Linked DNA regions of Saccharomyces cerevisiae S288C. The protein of the gene in region 2 binds, or shares a complex with, the protein of the main gene of each other region. Each region holds a gene or a part of one and is shown on either strand. Other genes may lie near its edges.

Evidence for each region.
Region 1: PRP18 (region 2) and PRP4 share a complex: the UniProt entries of both Saccharomyces cerevisiae proteins name them as parts of the U4/U6-U5 tri-snRNP complex.
Region 3: PRP18 (region 2) and SMD3 share a complex: the UniProt entries of both Saccharomyces cerevisiae proteins name them as parts of the U4/U6-U5 tri-snRNP complex.
Region 4: PRP18 (region 2) and SMD2 share a complex: the UniProt entries of both Saccharomyces cerevisiae proteins name them as parts of the U4/U6-U5 tri-snRNP complex.

What each region holds. Positions count from the first base shown.
Region 1 is NC_001148.4:890,532-894,229, forward strand, and holds PRP4 (U4/U6-U5 snRNP complex subunit PRP4), read left to right. Parts: upstream 1-1,800; coding exon 1,801-3,198; downstream 3,199-3,698. Other genes in the region: DPB2 (DNA polymerase epsilon noncatalytic subunit), read left to right, coding at 1-512; Rab geranylgeranyltransferase BET2, read right to left, coding at 570-1,547; HDA3 (Hda3p), read right to left, coding at 3,266-3,698. UniProt on the Saccharomyces cerevisiae protein: Involved in RNA splicing. Is required for the association of U4/U6 snRNP with U5 snRNP in an early step of spliceosome assembly.
Region 2 is NC_001139.9:504,283-507,325, forward strand, and holds PRP18 (mRNA splicing protein PRP18), read left to right. Parts: upstream 1-1,787; coding exon 1,788-2,543; downstream 2,544-3,043. Other genes in the region: PEX31 (peroxisome biogenesis protein), read left to right, coding at 1-44; transcription factor IIF subunit TFG2, read right to left, coding at 375-1,577; ECT1 (ethanolamine-phosphate cytidylyltransferase), read left to right, coding at 2,687-3,043. UniProt on the Saccharomyces cerevisiae protein: Component of the U4/U5/U6 snRNP, binding principally to the u5 snRNP. It is not absolutely required for the second step of pre-mRNA splicing at low temperatures but is required at higher temperatures.
Region 3 is NC_001144.5:433,658-436,306, reverse strand, and holds SMD3 (mRNA splicing protein SMD3), read left to right. Parts: upstream 1-1,843; coding exon 1,844-2,149; downstream 2,150-2,649. Other genes in the region: tethering complex subunit PEP3, read right to left, coding at 1-1,666; YLR146W-A (uncharacterized protein), read right to left, coding at 2,249-2,437; SPE4 (spermine synthase), read left to right, coding at 2,582-2,649. UniProt on the Saccharomyces cerevisiae protein: Plays a role in pre-mRNA splicing as a core component of the spliceosomal U1, U2, U4 and U5 small nuclear ribonucleoproteins (snRNPs), the building blocks of the spliceosome. Also binds telomerase RNA and is required for its accumulation.
Region 4 is NC_001144.5:692,656-695,300, reverse strand, and holds SMD2 (mRNA splicing protein SMD2), read right to left. Parts: upstream 924-2,645; coding exon 919-923; intron 829-918; coding exon 501-828; downstream 1-500. Other genes in the region: DBP9 (ATP-dependent DNA/RNA helicase), read left to right, coding at 1-255; MCM DNA helicase complex subunit MCM5, read right to left, coding at 1,419-2,645. UniProt on the Saccharomyces cerevisiae protein: Plays a role in pre-mRNA splicing as a core component of the spliceosomal U1, U2, U4 and U5 small nuclear ribonucleoproteins (snRNPs), the building blocks of the spliceosome.

The DNA.
Region 1 (3,698 bases), on a different chromosome or scaffold from region 2:
GTAAAAACGTTGTATGGAGCTCAAATCCAACTAGAATAGCATACTTATCCCAAGAAATAGTCATTTTCAGGGACGATTTATCCGGAAGATTCAAAAGACACCGTTTGGAATTCCCATTCAACGAGAGCGAAGATGTTTATACTGAAAACGATAACATGATGTCTAAAGACACCGATATTGTACCAATCGATGAATTAGTTAAAGAACCAGACCAGTTACCACAAAAGGTTCAAGAAACAAGAAAACTCGTTAAAACAATACTAGACCAGGGTCATTTATCGCCATTTCTTGATTCCTTGCGCCCAATTTCATGGGATTTGGACCACACTTTGACACTTTGCCCAATACCATCGACAATGGTTCTTTGCGACACTACTTCTGCACAATTTGATTTGACATACAACGGTTGTAAAGTAATTAACCCTGGAAGTTTCATTCATAATAGACGTGCTAGGTATATGGAGTACGTTCCATCCTCAAAGAAAACTATACAAGAAGAGATATATATCTAAATAATGCATCAAAATAAGAACACTTAAACAAGCACGGTAGTGTTGGTACTCTGCCATCTATTTGTATGGATACTTTTTGAATTTTGATGTAACGGATTTCGGCATACAATATATGGGATCTATGGGGACTAAATTGTCGTATCCCATTAAACTTAAACCAGCAACACCAAAAACTGTATGGAAGACATCCACTTCATTTTCAGGCCTGTCGCTTATTCCACCCTTCTTCTCATCTTGACATTTGAGTATAAACTCAGTTAGCTTCTCATAATTTATCCAATCTAGTCTACCAATAATAGCTAATGAAGATAAAACCCACCAACTATAGCAAACATCGGGCAGTTTACTTGGCCTACCGTTTAGTCCACCTTCTGGTAATTGTCGTTCGCAAAGCCACCACCCAATTTCTTCTAGTTGGTCGTCACTAAGCATATCCAATTTGTTAGCAATTGCCAAAGCGCCAAGACAGGTAAAAGCTTGAGCTGCATGGGATTCAGCATTAGGACATAATCCAAAGCCACCATCAAAATTATAACACTTGAGTACAAAGTCTACAGCAGGGTCAACAACTTCAGACGTTAATTCACCCAAAATTGATAGTGCACTCAAGGCTGTATAAACAAACCTTGTATCTACCTCCCCAAACCTGTCACCCTGGAACGAACCATCTTCCAATTGATTCCCACGGATGAAGGAAATCAAGCGAACCTTACGATCTTTTCCAAGAACATCCAAAGCATCATAAGTGGCCAAGATCTGTACGGCGGACAATGTAGTTAATAAATGTGCATCATGTCTTGGAAATGGTGCGAAAGCGCCGTATTTGTCGTCCCAACAGCTCAGAACAAATGATATAACCTCTTCTTTCACAAATGTCTCTGGAGAATCAAGCACACACAAGGCAGTAAGTCCCCAATATATCCCATTCAAACGAAGATGCTCGGTAAGCCAGTATTCAAAATTATGCTTCTTTGTATCCAATGATTCAATATAACGTATATGCTTTTCCTTAAGTAGCGTAAGAGATCCTGACATGTTCACAATTTTCTAGTGGAGAAAACAGAATCATTAGTAACAGTAGTGGTATCTGAAATATATATATACACAGTTTCTTAAATTGTTGTCTTTACTACTGGTATTACTATCGCTATTACAAGCGAAGTCATTAAGTACGGAAATGTTTAAACGTAGAGAGCTAGTAAAGGAAAGGCTGTTACATGATCACTAATCGTAACTTTGCAACGAGCCTGAGGGAAATGACTAGTACTATTACCTTGTTGAACGGAATATGAGTAAATATATTGCACTTGAAAATCTTCCGGTAGATTTGCAACATAAAGGAGCTACACAAAATGAAAGCACCGCTGATATACTGAAACAGTTGCCACATGAACGATTACAAGCTGTCCTGGAGAAGATACCAGAAGAAGATCTTGAGGTGAGACGATTGCTTTCAATTTTAAAGAAGCCGGAAGTAGTGGAGAATGAAGATGTACAACAAAGAAGAATACGGTTGGCTGAAATTTTAATGGTTGATGAAATTGATCTTGAGAACATTAATAACATGGAAAACATAAATGGGGAAGAAGTAGACGAAGAGGACGATGAGGACTTCTTCACTCCAGCAACATCTGAGCTCATTTTTGCGAGAAGATTTTTGATAAATTATTCACTTGAAAGATCTCGAAAGAGGCTACAGAAAGAGATGGAAAGACATCAAAAGTTCAATACAAGACAGGAATTACTCAGTCGGCGTACAGAATTACAGCGTATGGCTAATTTAGAGCTTGCTGGCTCTCAATTAGTATCTACGAAGCCTATTTCCGCAGTTTCTTTATCTACCGATGACATGGTTGTCGCAACGGGAAGCTGGGCAGGTGATCTTCAGGTATTAAATTCTCAAACACTGCAGCCATTGACACAAAAACTCGACTCTCATGTAGGGAAAATCGGAGCTATAGATTGGCATCCTGATTCAAACAATCAAATGATTTCATGCGCAGAAGACGGGCTCATCAAAAACTTTCAATACTCAAACGAAGAGGGCGGCCTTCGATTATTGGGAGATCTTGTGGGACATGAAAGACGTATTTCTGATGTGAAATACCACCCTAGTGGCAAATTTATAGGTAGTGCCTCTCATGATATGACTTGGAGACTTTGGGATGCGTCAACACATCAAGAACTGCTGCTACAAGAAGGCCATGATAAGGGAGTGTTTAGTCTGTCTTTTCAATGCGATGGATCTCTTGTTTGTAGCGGTGGCATGGACTCGCTTTCAATGCTATGGGATATAAGATCCGGAAGTAAGGTGATGACACTCGCAGGACACTCAAAGCCTATTTACACCGTAGCTTGGTCACCAAACGGGTATCAAGTAGCCACTGGTGGTGGTGATGGAATCATTAATGTTTGGGACATCAGAAAACGGGATGAAGGCCAACTAAATCAAATATTGGCGCATCGTAACATCGTTACGCAGGTAAGGTTTTCAAAGGAAGACGGCGGAAAGAAACTTGTCTCTTGTGGCTATGATAATTTGATCAATGTGTATAGTAGTGATACGTGGTTAAAAATGGGAAGTTTAGCAGGCCACACTGATAAAATTATTAGCTTGGATATTTCGAATAATTCTCATTTTTTAGTGAGCGGCGGATGGGATAGGTCTATCAAGCTCTGGAATTGATTGTGTAAAGAAATGTATTTAGTATTTTTGAAACTAACGTTTTATTAACACTGCATTATTTATTTAATTATACATTTCCTGGTTTTTTTGCCCTGGATTTTTTTTTTGTGTTACCATTTTGAGTACGAACTCGTGGAATTGTTAAGTTTTCCAAGTTGTCCATCGTCTTCGATAACTGTCCCACTAACTCCTCGTTTAGATCATTCTCAAGCTTTAATTCCTTTTTCAAAAAGCCAATTTTCTCATTCAATTCTTTTGTAGAGATTTCAGACTTTTCGAATTTCAATTTCAACTCACTTTCTAATCCATTTTGTTTCTCATTAAGTTTGTGTGTCTCCTCCTCATTTTCCCTTATAGCATCAACGGCTCTTTTGATTTCTTGTTCCATATATTTCTTCTCAGTATCCCTTGATACACTTACCCTTTCTTCTTTCTCGATCTCGTCTTGTACATTGTCTGTTTTAACGAAAGCGTCTTTTAACTTTGATAATGTTTCACCT
Region 2 (3,043 bases):
AATTAATACAAATATCTGATGTTTCAATGTCTCCTTCTCTATAATGAGTGCATGCCCCATATGGACAACAACGTTCACACTGGTCGGTGCAAGGGCACACAGCAATCTCAGAGTTTCTTTCATTGGCTGCATGGAGCACAAATTCAATCTTGTGCTTTAAAGTATCTGCGCGGTTATGGCAAGTTCTCCATCAGTCTCTTATTCCAGCAAGCATTCTTTTACGGAACTTCAATGCATCTAAATACATATGTACAGATAGCCAAAACTAATAGAGACATAATAAATTAAACAAAACTGTAAATTTTAAAAAGAGTATATATAGGGCTCAAGAAACTGCGTAAATATAAAATTAATGAAGAAAATCTGATTGTCAACTAAACGACATCTTCCATTTCTATTTCATCTTCCAAGTCAGCCTCCGCGTCTCCTTGCGCATTGTCTCCAGCGGAACCTGTTTGCTCATCAGCTAGTTCACCTAAGGTTGCCTTTCTCTCCTCCTCTTTCAACTTTTTATACTCTGGCCTTAAAGTGTATTTGAATGCATATGGGCCCTTCTTCACTAGAGTGGCAACTTTATCCAAACACTCCTTTAAATGTGCTTCAGGTTGCCTAGTACGTTCCTTCAACCCCTTCAAGGACCAGTAGTCATACTCATCAAATAACTTGAACAAGTAATCCAAGATTTCCTTCTTTGGCATACGAATAGATTTAATATTGCTCTTGGCCTTCTCACGCCCCACTTTCAAGAAATTCGAGTTGTCTGACCTCATGGACATACCTGTGTGGCTCATCGTAACACCAACGGTTTCATCCAAAGTTGTGATCCTTTCCTTATTATTAAGCTTGACAATATTTCTTCTCTGTTCAACAATCTTGTGATAATTAGGATCATTCATTGATGGCATAACCTGACATTCGTGGCAAACTGTACCCACAATGGCGGTTTTTTTGGGAATCGTCTTCACATATGGTATATATCTATCTCTACCATCCCTATCTGTCATAACTCTGTGATTAAACTTTTTTCTATTATTTCTACGTTTTTGCTGCTGCTGCTTCTTCTTAAGTTCCTCTTCACGTTCTTGCTTCTTCAGGTAAGCTTGCCTTTGCTTTTCAGGATCTGCTTCCAACTCCTTTTTACGTTGTTGATATTTCTTTAAATTTTGTTCTGTGAAAACATATTCATTTTCTACTACTTTCTTTGTAAGTTCTAAATCATATTCGTGCGGTATAGAATCGTTATCATTTTCATTCAATAGAAGTGTGATTTTACTCCCATCCTTGTTTATCCTAATTTTACCCAGTTCTTGGCCATGCAAGTTGTTTCTGTCCCTCCATTTCTCTGCTAGAAACATGGGCAATCTAACTAACCAGACTTGTCTATTACTACGTTCCAAGTCCAAATCTAAGGATTCTTCATAAACTTTGGTTTCATTATTCTCAATATCATTACCGTCAAAAACTTCCTCCTCTTGCGAAAGATACTCATCACCGGAAATGTTACCTGATTTCTCCTTCGCGACAGAGTTCGTGGAATTATTAGAAAGTGCTGGTGCCCCTGCTGAACCACTGCTCATGGTGTTAAGTTGGTCTTCTATTTTACTCTTAATATTGCGTTATGCGTTGAAGCCAACAGCATATGTCTTATTCTTCTAATTTCAAGCCTGATAATTTATTCATTTCGCGCAAGGGAAGATGAAAAAGTTAAGAAGAGAATCGACCTTTGGAAAGGGCCCCAATGGAAAGAACTTCAATGTTTTTTCCTCTACAAGTAATAAGAGCATAAAATGGACCTAGATCTAGCCAGTATCTTAAAAGGTGAAATTTCTAAGAAGAAGAAAGAGCTGGCCAACTCTAAAGGTGTTCAGCCACCATGCACTGAGAAATTCCAGCCACATGAATCCGCAAACATAGACGAAACACCGCGACAGGTAGAACAAGAAAGTACAGATGAAGAAAACCTGTCAGACAATCAGAGTGACGATATTAGGACCACCATTAGCAAATTAGAAAATCGGCCAGAAAGGATACAAGAAGCGATAGCTCAAGACAAAACCATCTCTGTAATCATTGATCCATCACAAATTGGTTCTACTGAAGGAAAACCTCTTTTGTCAATGAAATGTAATTTATATATTCACGAAATATTATCTCGTTGGAAGGCGTCTTTGGAAGCTTATCATCCGGAGCTGTTCTTAGACACTAAAAAAGCACTCTTTCCACTCCTACTGCAACTACGAAGGAACCAGCTTGCCCCGGATTTACTTATTTCCCTTGCGACCGTTCTCTATCATTTACAACAACCTAAAGAAATAAATTTAGCCGTTCAGTCCTATATGAAACTCAGTATCGGCAATGTGGCCTGGCCTATTGGTGTTACTAGCGTAGGCATTCATGCTCGTAGTGCACATTCGAAAATTCAAGGAGGCCGGAATGCTGCTAACATAATGATTGATGAAAGAACGCGATTATGGATTACCAGTATTAAAAGATTAATAACTTTTGAAGAATGGTATACCAGCAACCACGATAGCTTAGCCTAATTGTTGAACTATTGTTTTCGTTATCGCGTGGCACGATATCATGCGGCCAAAATAAGAAGCAAGAATGCAGATGTTGATAGCCTTTGTTCAATTTTCCAGAGACAAATGCTTTACAGGATCGGGACTTGAAATATACTGACTGGATGACGGTAAACTTAGATCCGGATAAAGTTTGGATAGACGGCTGCTTTGATTTCACACATCATGGGCATGCGGGAGCCATTTTGCAGGCTCGTCGAACAGTTTCAAAAGAAAATGGTAAACTATTCTGTGGTGTGCATACCGATGAAGATATTCAGCATAACAAAGGAACACCAGTAATGAACTCTTCAGAAAGATATGAGCATACTAGATCAAATAGGTGGTGTTCGGAAGTGGTTGAAGCGGCGCCATATGTTACAGATCCCAATTGGATGGATAAATATCAGTGCCAATATGTTGTTCATGGTGATGATATCACCATAGATGCTAATGGAGAAGACTGCTATAAGTTGGTGAAA
Region 3 (2,649 bases), on a different chromosome or scaffold from region 2:
TCAAAGAGTACTTATAGACTAGGTCATGGTTATTTATTGTAAGCAGAATTTTCAAGGACTCATACCAATTTCCTTGGTCAATCCAAAATGATAATAAAAACTTCATATCGTTGATTAGACTAGCAAAAATCAATAATTCGTTTTGCCGGTTTTGTTTGGACATTATTTGATAAACGGTTTCATTATCAAGTTTTTCTAGATGGCTTTCCAAAAATTTCGTTAGTTCATTCGATTTCTCCTTGAGATTCAGGTTCCAGTTTAGCAAATTGTCTTCATCAGTAGAAGCTGGCTTAGTTGTGTTTATCTTTAATTCAATATCATTCAATTGTTTCATAAAATTCCAAATAATCCAACTCGACAAGACGACTTGAGTTGATTTCCAGGGAACGTTATCCAACTGTTTTATCAATATTACGTTCAAATCGTTGTAATCTTTTATTTGGAGAAAATTCAATGCGATTTCCCCAAAGTGTGACAAGTCCTTCATGCTTCCCAAAGTTTGAGCCGCGGAATGAAAATCTTTAGCAGTGTGGAAAAGGTACATTGCCTTTGAAAGTTTTACAGATTCTATTTCCCTCACCGTCAAGCCTTTCAACGATAGGGCCTTGTCAAATTTGTTATCCCGAACTAATAAATTCCATACCGAATTAGGCTCATTTTCGATAATAATTTCAAAGACGTTGATGTTTGAGAAACACCAAAACGTTTCTTTCACCGAATCTCTTACTAGGCCTAAAAATTTCTCATTACTATCAGTGTTGGAGCCAGTCAACTGGTGTCTCGGTATAGTTTCATGAAACACTACGTCGTTATTTAATTGACTCACCATTGTTACCGTATTTTTTCTCAAAAGCAGGATGTGGAAAGCAGTCAAAACTATATCCTTGATGAGGTGATCTTTATCATTCTGGTAGTCAGGCAGTTCGAAATTGAGTAGAACCTTCGACGAAGATAGGAATTTTCCAAAATTATTAGAAGCAGGATCTTTTTCCATTTGCTTTTCTTTTAAATCACCAAAGACAATTCCATTGGATGTGACCCAAGCAAAGAGTCCATTGTACGAATCGAATTTCTTTATCGCATGATGTTTTAACCTTTCAAATTGCTCAGATTCATCTGGTAATACTAAAGGAAATTTCATATTTGTCACGTCTCTCCAGTATAAAATGTTGTCTTTTATAGTTAATAGCAGAGAGCCCTCCCAATACGCAATGCCATCAATTCCACCAGAGAGTTTCTTGTTTTCATACCATAGCTTCGTGGTTATATCCTTTCCTGTCAATTCAACTCGGTACAACTTGGGCGTCTTCTTGATTCCCATCAGAAAGGTGGTTTCGTTGATCCAATGTAGCGAGCTGAGGTCGAGATTTTTTATTTTGTTCAATTGAGTGAATTCGCCATCCTTTAGCAACATATACCGGCCAAAGTTGGTTCGAATAAGAATGACACTACCCATTGGTGAAACATGAACATTCATTATAGTTTCTAGTTCCTTGCTTAATGGACAGTCAAAGTGATTGACGATGGCCGGATCTTGTAAATTTATTCTGTAAATTGTCCGTTGTGTCGTTACTATAAGTTGATCATTGGAGACTTTCAAATGCGTAAGTTCGGTATTCCCTGTGAGGAATTGTAACTGAACTTCCTCTATACGTGTTTTTATCATTATATCCCTATATTTCTCTTTTTACTTCTTGGTACCTTATAGTTTTTACTTTTCTAGGGATGGCAGCTTCTTATTTCTTTCGTTCTATAGATTTGATATTTTTGAAATCGTTAAAAAATTCTTATAAGAGCAATACGAAGAGAATCAGAAAGCGCTGCGAGGCACGTATCAGAAACAATGACTATGAATGGAATACCAGTGAAATTATTAAATGAGGCACAGGGACATATCGTTTCTCTGGAGCTAACAACGGGAGCGACTTATCGTGGTAAACTTGTTGAAAGCGAAGATAGCATGAACGTACAGCTAAGAGATGTAATAGCTACAGAGCCCCAGGGGGCTGTAACACACATGGATCAAATATTCGTACGTGGGTCACAGATCAAATTTATCGTTGTTCCAGATCTCTTAAAGAATGCACCATTATTCAAAAAAAACTCATCAAGACCTATGCCACCAATAAGAGGACCTAAGAGAAGGTGATAATAGGAAACGTGACGGCAGAAACGCATTCATCATTGTAGGGGGAATATATATATATATTAATATTGTTTATGTAAAATATATTTGAATATAAATTTATCAGTTCGCACTGTTCGTGGTTGAATCCGCTGTTGTAGATGATTCCTTTATTTGTTCAAACTCGTTAAGATCGCAGCGAATTTGAGAATTCGTATCCCGCAACTGAGCAAATAACTGTTGTATTTCATTTTGCAACATCCGGGCATGCTCTACTGACGCTGTAGTCTTTTTTTTCTCTTCAGTGTCCATGGCTACTTCGAGCTTCTCTTTATTGCTAGATCCTTTTTAAGGTTATCTCAAAATTTTTCAAGTTGCTGCTGATTTTAGTTAAAAATAAAATATCAAAACGCCGATGAGACAGGCAGGATAAAGTGACAGATTCAGTTATACATTATGGTTAATAATTCACAGCATCCTTACATCAAAGATGGATGGTTTAGAGAGATTAATGATAAAAGTTT
Region 4 (2,645 bases), on a different chromosome or scaffold from region 2:
AAGTTGAAAAGACATTTTGAGGAGAATCCAAAAGAGCTACAAAGTTTAAGACACGATAAAGAATTACATCCAGCAAGAGTGCAACAGCATTTAAAGCGTGTTCCAGATTACTTGCTTCCTGAATCAGCCAGAGGAAATGGAACCAAAGTCAAGTTTGTTCCTTTCCACAATGCTAAGAAGCGCCATTCACATAAAAAGGGAAGAGTCAGTAAGCCAAAGAATGGTAAAGTAGACCCGTTGAAGAACTTCAAATGATTAATAATATTGATATTTATTCTATATTTTATGTAAAAATCTACTTATTAAAAATGCTCTTTAGTTAAATGTGATAATATAGATGCTTTATTCGTTTTCTTGAATATAATACTTTCGCAAGAGCTAGAAAATCAGCCAATAATAATTGGTCTTACTTCCAAAATAAAAAAAGGCTTTCCGCTGACTGTAAAGTTTCTTACGATGATTTGCTTTCCTTGTTGATTGAGGGCTGCTTGTCTTACTTTTTACTCAACAGGGGTTTTTAACACAACGATAACTGAATCACCTCTTAAGAATAGTTTACTTATGAATCTTTCCCGATTAATTACATTTTTGCCCTTCTTCTCTGTCCAAAGCTCCTTCACATTTTCTAAAACCATATTACAATGCCTGTCGAAAGCTTTCACTCTCGCTATTATTTTATGATTGTTTCTTAATGAGATTATCACAGGTGTTCTTGTCACCATAGCATCATTTATCAGGGACATTGGACCATGTTTGAATTCAAATTCTTCTAGTTCCTCTAATTCTGCTCTAGAGAGTTCATGTTTTGGACGATCAATTATTTGTGAACTGGAAAGATACAAATCAATTACTTTTAAGTTAGTATATAAAAATTCACTCCAAATTATAGGATGTAAAAATGGTTAAGATCAAACATACGACATGATAAAACGGTTTTATAATACTCCTCTAATCAACTGTCAAAGGCGGGGCAAACGTGATGGCGCTTGCTATTAAGAATGATGATGTTCTAGTGATGATGTTCTTGTCATACCTTTTGAGTAAGATAATTTTCATTTGGTAGTATTACCCGTAGTAATATCACGATAGGACAAATTGGTCCCCATAAAGTCACTTCAAGAGCTCATGTACTGTAGGATTGTTCAGTGGTAAATCGACCTCTATTTTCTAATTTCTTTCGTATGTCTTTGATTTCAATTTCTTTTTTAAGAAGCTTTGAATTATTTTGATTGACGGTCATATCAAGTCTGTGCGTTTATTATACAAAAAGAATATGAGACGCAGATGAAACCTCAAAAAGTATAATTTCGTTTACAGAATTTATATAGAAATATAATAATGAAGTATTTGTAGCGAATTTTTTAGATTCATTACATGCAAACAAGTAGAAAAGGCGTCAAGCTAAGACTTTATTGTTGTCATACACCACTTCTGTAAATATTCTGTCCCTGGTGTCTCAATTGAATTGTTTCATGCTTCTCTAGGGCATATAAGGCCTTATCCAGTGCTAATTGAGAAAATCTATGTGTATCTACAAATTCTCTCCTCAAAGTTTGATAAGAAGTAGACCAGCCTATAGGTAATCTTCTTTTTAGTTCTTGTTCAAAACGACGGATTTCTGACAAAGATGTTCCGCTTGCTTGATTTAAGCCGCCAATTGGATCCTGAGACGCTGCGTCCATTGTGGAAGCTTGAAACAATCTAATAGCTTCGTCAACATGTCTCTCCTGTGCAATAGGACTTAATTCTAACTTGGCTAATGATTCTGTTATTCTAATAATAGCTTCTAATTGACGAATGGTAATTGGAATAGACGACCTTTCCGTTGACTCTAATTCGTTGATTAATAATTGCTTCCTAATGGTGACGAAGTTCGATGACAGTTTTTCAGCGGCCTGCGGTGAAAGTCTTGGTGCACATTTCAATCTACAATACGTAATGTAACGTTTCATCTTTTCAATACTAATTTCACTGCCATTTTCCTCTTGTTGGTTTTGCATAGCATTAGCATTTCCTGTATGAATATTAATAACGTGGTTAGCTATTGAAATATCACGTTCTTCATTATGGTCATCCTTAACAATAAAAATCATATCAAAACGGGATAAAATAGTAGTTTGGAAATCAATGTTGTCACCAGGAGACTTCAAATCATCATACCGGCCGTATATCGGATTAGCAGCCGCTAAAACACTAGTTCTAGAATTTAGCACTGTAGTGATACCAGCTTTTGCGATGGAGATTGTTTGCTGCTCCATAGCTTCATGAATGGCCACTCTATCTTCATCTCTCATTTTATCGAATTCATCGATGCATACAACACCACCATCGGCAAGCACCATAGCACCACCTTCCAAATAAAATTCTCTTGTCATCGGATCTCTTTGTACACTGGCAGTTAACCCAGCTGCAGAAGATCCCTTACCAGATGTATATACCGCAATAGGTGACACTTTCTCCACAAATTTCAATAGTTGAGATTTGGCGGTACCTGGATCACCTAATAATAGTACATTGATATCACCTCTTAACCTCATACCATCGGGTAATATCTTCTTGGAACCACCCATCAATAAACATACAATGGCTTTTTTTATATCTTCATTACCAAAAATAGAGGGGGCAATAGAGTTGGTCAAAATTTC